Oryctolagus cuniculus: one gene and its partners. The protein of the gene in region 1 binds, or shares a complex with, the protein of each later gene. Links are inferred from orthologs where the notes say so. Each region holds a gene or a part of one and is shown in the gene's direction. Other genes may lie near its edges.

Region 1 (3,445 bases):
CCAGGTGATGTCAGATGGTTTGTGTCCAGGGATATTATCTGTGGTGCTTTGTCTCACCAGACACTTCGTGCATTGTTTTTATCAGCTGTATACTTGTTCTTGCCCCTTCTCTTGCAGCCATTTTGATGAGAAAGCTTATGAATAAATCTTGGGGATAAATATGAAATAAGATTTTCCATATTTAGAAAAAAGAGATAGGAGAAGTTGCAAATAGAAGTAAGAATGAGAGCAGAGGCAGCACTAAGATCAAGTCTTACTTTCACTGGTATGCTGCTCTCTTTCCAATTCATTTTTCTTGAGTTAGCTATGCTATGAACTTAACAACTGTAGATTAGTTGAAAAGATAAGTATAAGAAGTAAGTTAGGCTTTTCTGAAATATATTGGAAAATTCACTGACCTTAAATGGGTACATAAAATTACTCATTTTGATGTTCAGTTAAAGCTGCCCTTTTGACTGTATATTTATCTATGTGCAAGGAATCAAAACTGTTCCCCTCAGACCACAGCGGTGTCCTCTTGCTAGCAGCAACAGTGTAATGGGGTAGGTGTGGCTCATAGCTGTCCGTAAAAACTCAGCCTGGGTTGTATGGTGTTTGGGTTTTAAAGAAACAAAGTCTTCATGCATCAGAACGTTGAGAGAATGTTAACATGTTTGGGTAGTATAAAACACACGAAGACCTATCCTTCTCATGGGCCATAAAACTGCAGAAATTGGTAAGGTCTACTCCATTAAGTAAATGCAAAAGGTATACAAAGGTTTTCCAGAGGTGACCGTTGTATAGCTTCCATTCTGTGGTACAGTTTAACTTGAAGAGACAGGAGCACATCCAGAGACTGGATCGAGTTCACCTCTGCTTCTCCATCTTGTCCATTGCACTTGCCGCTAATGACATTTATTTGCCAAATATGAAGATGTGTGCTGTCTCCTTCGTCCAGTCTCCCATTGGAAATTGCCTCTGGATCTGCGCAAATTTAAATTGCAGTAGCGTGTTGTTTTCGAAGTGAAGTTTACCTCTGATGTCTCTGAATTCTGATGAGGAAAATCATTTTGCTGTGAAACTAACTCTGCTTCTCTTTATTTCCTTCCCGTCCCAGCTACAGGCCATATAGTTACCGGCACTTTGCACCTCCCACCACACCCTGCAGCACAGATGTCTGTGACAGTGACTATGCTCCTAGCCGGAGAATGACCTCAGTGGCAACAGCCAAGGGCTATACCAGTGACTTAAACTATGACTCAGAACCTGTGCCCCCACCTCCCACACCTCGAAGCCAATACTTGTCGGCAGAGGAGAACTATGAAAGCTGCCCTCCTTCCCCGTACACAGAGAGGAGCTACTCGCATCACCTCTACCCGCCGCCGCCCTCGCCCTGCACGGACTCCTCCTGAGGAGGGGCCCTCCTCCTCTGACTGCCTCCACCGCAAACATGTAAATACAGTGTGGTTGAGATCTGGGGGGGAGGGGGCTGTTAGAGAAGGCTGAGGCAGACCTTGTACAGTTAAAATTATAAAATGGGCTAGGGGATACTGGAGATATTTGTACAGAAGAAAAGGATATTTATATATTTTCTTAAAACAGCAGATTTGCTGCTTGTGCCATAAAAGTTTGTATAAAAAATAAATTTGTACTAAAAATTTTATTTTTGCAAACTAAATACACAAAGCATGCCTTAAACCCAGTGAAGTGACTGAGTACAAAGGAAACAGGAATAATAAAGGCATCTCTGACCAGGAATGTCTGGGCTTTATTGATACCAAAAATGAAAAAAAAAGATGACGACGACAATTAAGTCCATCTCAGAGCAGCAAACCATAGATACTTGGAAGAAGCCAAATAGCCTTCATGTTAACTAACATTCGAGGGCCAACAAGTGAAGACATCATGAAGGGGGGCGGGGGGATACTAACCTTGGACAAAGGGCTTTGTTTTCTCTCGGAATCCAACTGAATTTTTGTGAGGAAATAGATATTTGCAAAATCCCTTCTGGTGTTGCTGTTGTGAGGTGAGACCAGCTGTCTGGGCAGATGCTGCAGGGCCACGTGTGTGCAGGTCTTCTGTCCCTGCCATGGAGCCTGCTCCTCCCCCACAAAGTCGTGCTTTCACTCGGCTGCCTCCCCCAGCAACTTTGTAGGCCATTTTTGCCAAAATACCATGATGTATTCCAGCAATTAAAGAAATGGAATTGTCTAAATCAAAGTTTGATTTTAATATTTCTACTAGCTCCATTCCCCACTAGGTTTAGCTCTTCATTGACTGATGTTTTTGCATAATGATCAAAGATTAGACATATTATTTCTTTTCTTTACTTCAAGGTCATTTTAACATTCATTAAAATGTCTCCTTACAACATATAGACAGTGTTTAAGAATTGCAAATTTAACCATTATGTTTTTGTTGTAAATTAATCATATATCCTTGCAGTACTTTCATCATATAATATCACAATATGAAATCACTTTTATATGTTTTTTTGAGTAAAACATTTAAATATGTTCTGGTTAGAGACAATCTATTTAAAAATAAAATTTTTTGTCATTAGGGTTTTCCCTATATTAACTGTTTGTGCCATTTTCGTGCTCTTTAGGCCAATTTTTTCTCAGAATGATGTCTACATATGTACCTCTTCTGATGTGTGACATGAGTTTAATATCTTCCTGTTATCCACTGTGAATGTAAGGTTGTTTTCAAATTATCCACAAATTATTCTTATAATCATTATGTTTTTATGTGTGTTCCGTCTTATTCCATTATGAACTAAGTAATTTAACAATCATCTGGGGAGTAAATAAGAAGGCCAACTATTAACGTCTCAGCTGTCAGAACTTGGGAGCAGGGGAATATGGAAGTCTCACTCCGTCTGCCTGACCTGCTGTCATGTACAGTACTGGGGCTGCCACATCTTAAGCTTCCAGGGATGACCCATGCAGCAATTCTAGCCTGCTCTGCCTCCTTGCCAGAAGTTAGTCTCTTGCTTTTAACACATGTCTGGCACTTCTCTGCTAAAACTGAATGTGTTTTCAAACTGATGTACTTTGACCTAAACAGGTGCTGGTCAGTTAGTTATGAAATGACTTTGGTTTTTGTTTTTAATACTGTCTTGTCAGGGCCTCTCTGACTTGCAAGAGAAAATAACAAAAGAAAGGATTCAGAATTTTTGGCAGGGATGAAGTAATGTTTCAAGCCACTCAAAAAATATCTAAATAAACTTCTTAAAGAAAAAAATATGGTTTCAGAATAATGCTCAGATTGTTGTGGACAGCTTATGAGAATGATCAGGTGCACTGATTTTGCATATGACTAAATGGTCATCCATCAGCATTAACTCTTACTGTTAATGGAACAAAGTGCTCCCAGTCTAAGATTGGACACTAAACTTGCATTCTGTGACACATGGGAACACTTGATGTTTAAATGAAGATGGAAAGGTTAGCAATAACTGGGT
Region 2 (3,990 bases), on another chromosome or scaffold:
ACAAAATCTTACACGAGTCTGATTTACTTTCTGGCTCACTTGCCATCCTCCCTGGCCCCAAGGTAGTCTCTTATCTCCCACCGTCGCGGGGAGGCACAGACTTGCGATCAAACACCGGCGTTCCGAAGCCTGGGCGATGGGAACCACTAATGAGGAAGTCAGGCGCTCAGCCTTGGGGGATCTTATCCCCTGCATTAACCCACCGCTGAGAAGCGGACCCAGGGAAAGAAGGCTGACCCAGCACGTGGGACCCTGTCCGCTCTGGCTCGGGGCCACTTTGATCTCGCACGTCTGCCTCATCAAGGTCATCTCAGATTCCAAGATTAAATAGTTAGATTATCAGATGGCCATTTCCCTCTTCCCTCTACCACCCCTGATCTAATTTCCAAACTCCAGTCTCTCGCCTCCCTCTCTAAACTTCCCATCAAAAGAGAATTAGTTCTTCTTCCTTGTTGACCCGCGTTTGATGTGCAAATTCCCTTCTCTTTGCACTTCTTTTTTTTTTTTTTTTTTTTTTTGCCGCTGTGGCCGGGCCGGGAGGCGGTGTGTGTGTGTGTGTGTGTGTGTGTGTGTGTGTATAGGGGTTACAACTGGATGAACCTCAAGCCTAGGACCTCACCCACGCCTGCAAAACCGCGACTCCAGGAGGGCTCATGAGCAACTTGCAAACGGCCACCTGGTACACCTCCGGCAGGGACGGTCGGCTGGAGCCTTTGCGTTAATCTTTTCAGGCTGCATCTAACACTGAATGTGATTTTGCTTGTACGACAAACCAGGGCCGGTGGTGGAAGACCGGCCAGGAGCGAAGAGCGGATCTGCAGCGAGTGCTGACCGTGAGGCTCTGCAGCCTGTTGCAGGTCCGTCTCGCCCGCGCCCTGCTGCCAGGCCAGTGCACCCAGGGTCTCAGGGTCCCTCCCGCCTCCAGCGAGTCCTCCGGTCCACTGCCCCAAGCTGTCCGAGACGCGTCAGCCCGAAGCTAGCTGGGCGGAGGGAACACCTCGCGAGGTTGGGGCGGGGTGACGAGAGTCAAAGGCCCCGCTTCTTGTACACAAACACACCCCCTGCCAGCCCCTCCCAACTCTTTGAAATCCCATCCCGGCTTTGTCATCCTCTCCCCCCACCCCCGGAGGGGCCGGAACGCTCCGAGCCCGCTGTATAAAGGCAGCCGCGGTGGCGGCGGCGGTTCAGTGCTGCCTGCGGCTGGCAGTCGGGACGCGGAGACCCTGACCCCGCAGCCGCGCCAGCACGGCTTCCTTCGGGACCGGGCCTGCGAAGGGACGTGCCTCCTCTTTTTCCTTCTTTCTCCCACCGAGTCCTTCTGAAATGACGGTTCTGGGCGCAGTGGCCGCCCCGCGGGTCCTGGTCGCCCTGGTAGCGGCGGCTCTTAGCAGCCACCCTCTGCTGGGAGTGAGCGCCACCTTGAACTCGGTGCTGGTCAATTCCAACGCCATCAAGAACCTGCCCCCGCCGCTGGGCGGCGCTAACGGGCACCCGGGCTCTGCAGTCAGCGCCACGCCCGGGATTCTGTACGAGGGCGGGAACAAGTACTTGCCCCTTGACAACTATCAGGTGAGCGGGGTCTCGGGGGATGCTGCCACGCTGCGGCCTTCCAGGGCGGGGGGACCCATTTGCCGGCGAGGGTGGAGGTTGAGGGTGCTGGGCGTGTCTGGTTGAGGGTGAGAACCGGCAGCCCAGAGCTGCAAGGGCTTTTGGAGAGGGGTTCAGCCAGGTGACCCTGACGAGCGTTCGGGTGCCTGGCTCCTCACCGTCTCCCCGCCGGCTCCCCGCAGCCGTACCCGTGCACAGAGGACGAGGAGTGTGGCACGGATGAGTACTGCGCGAGTCCCGCCCGCGGAGGGGGCGCCGGCGTGCAAATCTGTCTGGCTTGCAGGAAGCGTCGAAAACGCTGCATGCGTCACGCGATGTGCTGCCCCGGGAATTACTGCAAAAACGGTGAGTCCGGCGGCTGGCTCCCGGCTCTGGCTCTGCGAGCGCTGGGGCGCCCGCCACCTGCGAGCGGGAGGCGGAGTTGGCTGCAGATCTCTTCCCTGGGAGCAGTAGACAGAACTCTGCAGTTCTCCTGGCTTTTTCCTCTGTGCCCCTGGGGGGCCAGTTGAGACTGGAGAGGAGAGGGCGAGGAGGGGGTCCCTGAGAAATACCCGGGGGACCAGCCCTGACTTTCACTGCCCTGGTCCCTTTTTCTCACGGTGACTCTCAGGGCTCCTCCTTTTGAAACTGATGTCTGGTGACTTACCTGCGCTGGCCGTTTTTCAGGGAGATCTTGATACCCTCACCCGTGGGGTTCTCGGCCCCTCACTCTTCCTTCCACCCTCGCGACCTTAAAATAAGCACTTCCCTTCCCTCCCTCCCCACACCGAGCCACTAAAAGTTAAAGCCTCCGGGGTGGCGACCCTTCTCGGGACCCAGCTGGACCCCGGGACGAACTTAAGTCTCTGTGATAGAGAAATGACATCGTCGGGGAACTGGTGAGACCAGCATCCTCCGGGCAGCTGGAATTGCATTTGCTTGACGCAGTCTGGCAGGACTCATAGAGCCCCAAGTCGCAGCAGAGAAGTTGTGTTGAAGAACAATGACGATTTCTTTTTCCTTACTCCAAGGGGGACAGTAAAATGGGCAGAAACCTCACTGCCCCTCCCACAGTTTGTGGGAGAGTATTTTCAATGGCTCTACCGGGACTGATGCCCGGGAGGCAGCCGTGCACACGTGGATGCTGCTGTCCGCTGGGGAGTTCCGCAGGGACACTAGGGAGGAAAGTTGCCTTGTGCTTAAAATAATGCCCCTGCACCTGAGAGGTACCTCACGTGCATCAGTCACCGCAGAGTGCTTCTGTCACAGCTGTTGGCAAAAAAAGCATTACCGCCTGGGAGTTAATCACTGTTACCTGCTTCCTTAGGAATATGCATGCCTTCTGATCACAATCATTTTCATCGAGGGGAAATCGAGGAAACCATCGTCGAAAGCTTCGGGAACGACCACAGCACCTCGGATGGGTATTCCCGCAGAACCACCCTGTCTTCGAAAATGTATCACGCCAAAGGTAGGCGGAAGGTGCCCTGATTCGTGGGCATGCCTAAGCTGTTTTTGTAGTTGTCTCCCTGGAATGATGATGGCTTGGCAGTGACGGGTTTTCCTGCTGTCTCCTCCTTCGCAGGGCAGGAAGGTTCCGTCTGCCTTCGCTCATCAGACTGCGCCACGGGGCTGTGTTGCGCCAGGCACTTCTGGTCCAAGATCTGTAAGCCCGTCCTCAAGGAAGGTCAAGTGTGCACCAAGCACAGGAGGAAGGGCTCGCATGGGCTGGAGATTTTCCAGCGCTGTTACTGTGGAGACGGGCTGTCTTGTCGGCTGCAGAACGATCAACATGAAGCCAGTAACTCTTCCCGGCTTCACACCTGTCAGAGACACTAGACCAGTCGTGGACATGCGGTGGACTCCTATAATATATACTAGGGAAACCTCTTATGACTTTTCTCAGCTCAGTCCTAAGGATGTACAAATTCAATGATTACCATTAAGCATTCCAATAATACCTTCCGAAAATCTGGAGTGTAAGAGCTTTGTTTCTTGATGGAACTCCCCTGTGATTGCAGTAAATTACTGTGTTGTAAATTCTCAGTGTGGCACTTAGCTGTAAATGAAATGAAACTTCTTAATTATTTTTCTAAAAGTGCTACATTGTCTATTGTTTCTCTTGTTATGTAAATGTTTGTATACATTGTTACCTTGACTCTGATAAATATTCTATATTGAATTGAAATAAATAATTTCAGTTTATGGTTCCAGTTCTTAAGTGTATAGCCCCTTTCCCTTTTAATTCTAGAGTCTGAAAAGGCAAAGAACTCTTGGTAGAAATGATAGGCACCTAAAATTTACCATGAAAATATGAGCTTATTTTTCAAAATGTACCATCTCAATGATTAGATTTTTATTTCCTACTAGGCTGTGATAGTCTTTGAAATAAAATTTCACATT
Region 3 (4,304 bases), on another chromosome or scaffold:
GGCTCTAAGCATCTGTCCTGCCAACTCCAAGAACCCTGGCAGGGCAGTGGCTCTCTACAAAGTTCAGGGTGAGAGGGCCGTGGTCCGGCCACAGCAGGGTTAACAGTCCACATTCCAGAGCCAGGGGAAGGAGGCTGGAGGGTCACAGACAAGGGGAGGGGGCGCCGCTTCTCACAACCCTGCTGGCTCTGCTGGGAGAGATAGATCACCCCCAACAATGGCCACAGCTGTTTTCGTCTGCCCGAAGGAAACCGACTTAGGAAGCAGGTATCAGAGAGGGCCCTTCCTGCGGGGGCTTCTGTCTGGCTTGTAAAACTGTCAGGGCAGCTGCATCCATGTGTCAAGTGATGGATGACGGAAAGGCGGGGGACAGTCGGCCGCAGATGGACATAGCAACGTACAAGTTGAGGCAGGTGGCAGCGGCCTCCAAGAGGCTGTGCAGGTGGAGCGGGCTGATTCATTGCCCAGTGAAAATACCAAGGGGATCCGGGCCACAGCCCTCTTCCCAGCCTCCCTCCCTCCGGGCAGGAGCCCAGCGCCTCCTGCCTCCCACACCGCACTGTCCCCAGGGAAAGCTTGCCCTGGCCCTTTCTTTTCTGGCACCTCGGGTGTGAACCTTCCTCCCCGGCCCCTCCCCCTCCCCAGAGGCCTGATCTCCTGGGGTGGGGGGAGCTGAGAGTGCGACCCCCTGGGTTTCTCTTGGCTGCTTGGACTGGGCTGCAATGGCTTTGGGGAATGCATCCCAGGGTAGGCACCACTGGGGTCTCCCAGAGAGGACTCCAAGTTGCTTCTGCAAAGGTAGCAGGCTGGCAGACGGGGAAAAAAGGTCAGTACTGAACACATGCGCCTCGGCTTTGGCTAAGAAGGCCACAGTGTGGCCAGGGAAGGGACCACCCTCAGCGCACCAGCCCGGGAGCTGCAGCCAGTGCTCTGCGGGACCTGCACAACTCCACATGTCGCCAGCATCCTGCCCTTGCGCCCCAGCGGTCACCGAGCTGGGGCCCTGCGGCTCTCTTCTCTCTTGACTTCCAGGGAGGTTTTCTTGGTCAAGATGATCCATGCTGAGCCTCATGGCTTTGGGACCAAAATGGGGTTTCTTGAAAAGCCTGCTCCTGCCCCTGGCTGAGCCTGTGGGGCTGTCCGATGGGGAGGTGAGGGTGGCCTCTGCCCGGGCAGCTGCACCAGCGAGCTCAGGCCCGTGGAGAACTCTGAGCTACTCGTTTCCTTGGTTAGGCTTAGGCGGCTCCGCGGGTACCATGCAAATGCCTGAGGGAGGTAGACACCCAGCAGCCGGAGCTGTGAGCTCCTGCTGATATGGGAAAGCCACAGCCGCCTGCCTGCCGGGGGAGGTGCCTGGGGAGCAGGCGTGGGCCCTGCCTCACACGCCCCTCCCTCCGATCACCTGGGAGTGCCAGCAGCAAGTTGGAAGTTTGCTGAGCTCCAGGAGAAATCTTTGGGGAGGGCTTGCTCTGAGCACACCCCTTCCCTCCCCCAGAGACATGGAGCCAGCCCTGCCCCAGCCTGTCCTCATTGGCTGGCACGAGGCAGAGGGGGCTTTAAAAAGGGGACCGAGTCTGGGCTGGGGAGCCAAGCCTGTGCTCCTAGAAGGCAGGTGCCCTCCCGTGGCTGGCACCATGCAGCTCTCCCTAGCCCTGTGTCTCCTCTGCCTGCTGGTGCATGCAGCCGTCCACATGGTAGAGGGCCAAGGGTGGCAGGCCTTCAAGAATGACGCCACGGAAGTTATCCCTGAGCTCGGGCGGTACCCCGCGCCTCCCCCGGAGCTGGAGAACAAGACCATGAACCGGGCGGAGAATGGAGGGAGGCCTCCCCACCACCCCTTCGAGACCAAAGGTATGGGGGAGGGGAGAGCCGTTAGCCCAAGGGTCCTGGGGAGGAAGGGGGGATGTTTTAGAATCTTCTCTTCGGTAGGCTGTGAAGGCTGGGGCTCACCGATGCAGGGACAGGCACTCCTGGAGGTAGGGAGGGGTGGTGAGCCAGTGCAACCTTAGCCTTCAAGTTCAGGGGCACTGGACCAGGAGGGGCTGAGGCGGTGAGGGTGCAGCAAGGCAGCAGGCTCCAAGGCACAGGATAGAAAAGGGTTCAAAGAAACCTCTCCTGAAAGCACAGGAGCCAGGACTGGGGACAAGGCAGGAGCCAGGACTGGGGACAAGGCAAGGGCCCCGCACATCTGGAGTGGCACGTGCTGAGCACCGAATGCTCTAGGCAGGCTGTCGCTGCACTGTGACCGCAGACCCAGCACGTGCAGGGCAACCCCCAGATCCAAGTGAAAGCTACGGAGGCTCCTGAGATGGAGCTCCTTGGTTATAAGCAGCGGAGCTGAGATCTGAGCTCAGGGCCATTCAACTGCAAGGCCGCCAGGCGTGTGCAGGAGGGGAGGGGTGTTAGAACCCGAGACCCTCGCACGGCAGTGGGAGAAGGAAGCCAGAGAGGCCCCTTCAGCTCCTACTGCCCACCGTCTACCCGGCCAGCTGGCCTTGAACGAAGTGGGGGTGTAGGCACAGCTTCAGCCTCTGGCATGGGTGGCAGCTGAGTCCAGGCCCTGGCGGGGGCGGAGACAGGGAAGGCAGCAGCCTCTGTGCACGGAGTGGACACAGGTGGCACTGCCAGTGCGGAGCCCCCACCCCAGACCCAGCCTCTCTTATCCCTGGGTGGCAGTGGGGCCGCTGCAGGGCTCCTGTGTGCCACCCCTGCCAGCCTCCCACCCAGCTGCTGGAAGTGGGCCCCGGGGAAGGGCAGGCCCCTGGGGGCCAGCAGCGACCCTGGGTTTCACAACAGAGGGTGGGCGGCAGGAGCACTCCTCCCCAGCCCCTGAGCTCAAGGGGCTCCCACTTACAAGGCTGCAGGGGACCCGAATATAACATGTCCACTTCCCCAGGCTCTCGTGAGAGGCCACAGCCCACCATCCGGCTCTGCAGAGGAAGTGCTGGGGGGGGCACTATTCTTGGAAAAGCCTCCTTCCCTGGGCAACAGGCCGCCCCACCCAGCACTGCTGCAGGTGGAGGATGCCAGCCCCGAAACCAGGCAGCCAGCCACGGCCCTGCTGCGCTGGTTCTCATGCCTCTGTGTCACCGGGGAACTGTCCAGTGAAAGCTGTTGGGGTGGACCAGCTGTTTAGAAAGCCCCCACCTGCCTAAGCCCACTGAAAGAGGCACAGTCAGTGTGTGCAGGGGGCCGAGCCACATCCAGCGAGCAGGCTTGTGTCGCCATCAGGTGCCCACTTGAGTGCCACAGAGCAGCAGACGTGCTTAGCCAGGAGCCTGGTACATAGTAGGTGCTTAATAAATGCTGGTGGCAGCTGACGCTATGGAATCAGAGCCCAGTGCCCCTCTGGCAGGAAGTAACTGTGGTAAAAAGCAGTCCTGTGCCCCCGGGGGCCCAGCCCCGCCTCCCGCGGGCCCCCCCAGCAGACCCCTTTCACCCAAGCTGCAGGCAGAAGGTGTGGGCGGTGGGAGGTGGTGCTGGGCGAGCCGAACTGCCTTTTGGGCAGGTCCTTTCCCCTCTCCTGGCTTCAGCGTCCCGTCTGATAATGAGGGGGTTGGACGCGCACCTTCGGCTCCTTTCAAGTCTAATGAATTCCTCCCCTGCCGCCTCCCGCCCATGCTGCTCCTCTCCTGCAGCCGCTCTGATTTACGGCCTGCAATCGACCTCTCTCCCCCTTTCTCCTTCTCCTGCCCGCCCCTGCCAAGTGGCTGGGAAAGGAATTCGGGAAAAGCCAGACCCATGCAGGTGTGGCTGGTACCGCCCCGGTGCAGGCCAGGGCCCCTCGTGCACAGGTGTGGTTAAACTCAGCAGATGCCCCCCACCCCCGAAGAATAAAAACAAGGCCCCACAGCCCGCAGCTCCCACCCCTCCTGTGAACCCAGCTGTGCAATTGTGCACGAAGGACTGGCTCGCTGGAGACTCCAGACAACCCATTTTGCAGACTGGGAGAAGTGAGAGGTTAAGTAATTTGTCCGAGGTCACACAGGTGTTAAGGGATGGGGCCCTTGCACTTTAACCCTAGCTGCCACTCGGCCACAAGGGCAGAGGGTGGCCCTGGGTTGATCCCCTAACCTGCAGGAGTAGGGGGGCCTTCCTGTAACAGGTGCACAGGGGCAGGAGGCCCAGGTGTGTTAGAGATGGGATGGGGCTCGGGGCACGGGGCGTGGGGCGCCAGCCGGCCCAGGCCCCACCCTCACGCGCGCCTCTCTCCGCAGACGTGTCGGAGTACAGCTGCCGTGAGCTGCACTTCACCCGCCACGTGACGGACGGGCCGTGCCGCAGCGCCAAGCCGGTCACCGAGC

Evidence for each region. Proteins that work in one complex are often made in the same cells at the same time.
Region 2: the proteins of LRP6 (region 1) and DKK1 are in contact, whole or in part, in a crystal structure (PDB 3S8V), measured with the Homo sapiens proteins. The link is inferred for Oryctolagus cuniculus from reciprocal best matches to the Homo sapiens genes LRP6 and DKK1. Residues at the interface, in NP_001401174.1 of Homo sapiens: Arg639, Glu663, Ser665, Ile681, Tyr706, Glu708, Thr724, Arg751, Trp767, Gly768, Gly769, Pro771, Val790, Gly791, Arg792, Asp811, Thr812, Asn813, Leu814, Pro833, His834, Phe836, Trp850, Ser851, Tyr875, Met877, Arg1184; in NP_036374.1 of Homo sapiens: Glu185, His204, Phe205, Trp206, Ile209, Gln218, Val219, Thr221, Arg224, Arg225, Ser228, Gly230, Leu231, Glu232, Ile233, Phe234, Arg236, Ser258, Leu260.
Region 3: the proteins of LRP6 (region 1) and SOST are in contact, whole or in part, in a crystal structure (PDB 6L6R), measured with the Homo sapiens proteins. The link is inferred for Oryctolagus cuniculus from reciprocal best matches to the Homo sapiens genes LRP6 and SOST. Residues at the interface, in NP_001401174.1 of Homo sapiens: Arg28, Asp52, Val70, Ser71, Glu73, Leu95, Ser96, Asp98, Glu115, Arg141, Trp157, Trp183, Asn185, Ala201, His226, Phe228, Trp242, Met269, Arg336, His361, Asp379, His404, Asp406, Thr422, Glu447, Arg449, Trp465, Trp491, Asn493, His534; in NP_079513.1 of Homo sapiens: Leu115, Pro116, Asn117, Ala118, Ile119, Gly120, Arg121, Arg169, Thr171, Arg172, His174, Asn175, Gln176, Ser177.

Annotation. Positions count from the first base shown.
Region 1 is NC_091440.1:109,750,608-109,754,052, reverse strand, and holds part of LRP6 (low-density lipoprotein receptor-related protein 6), read left to right. Parts: intron 1-1,096; coding exon 1,097-1,391; 3' UTR 1,392-3,445. UniProt on the Homo sapiens protein: Component of the Wnt-Fzd-LRP5-LRP6 complex that triggers beta-catenin signaling through inducing aggregation of receptor-ligand complexes into ribosome-sized signalosomes.
Region 2 is NC_091446.1:45,399,185-45,403,174, forward strand, and holds DKK1 (dickkopf-related protein 1 precursor), read left to right. Parts: upstream 1-1,182; 5' UTR 1,183-1,323; coding exon 1,324-1,569; intron 1,570-1,790; coding exon 1,791-1,953; intron 1,954-2,914; coding exon 2,915-3,058; intron 3,059-3,172; coding exon 3,173-3,426; 3' UTR 3,427-3,806; downstream 3,807-3,990. UniProt on the Homo sapiens protein: Antagonizes canonical Wnt signaling by inhibiting LRP5/6 interaction with Wnt and by forming a ternary complex with the transmembrane protein KREMEN that promotes internalization of LRP5/6.
Region 3 is NC_091448.1:19,384,032-19,388,335, forward strand, and holds the start of SOST (sclerostin), read left to right. Parts: upstream 1-1,496; 5' UTR 1,497-1,499; coding exon 1,500-1,851; intron 1,852-4,217; coding exon 4,218-4,304. UniProt on the Homo sapiens protein: Negative regulator of bone growth that acts through inhibition of Wnt signaling and bone formation.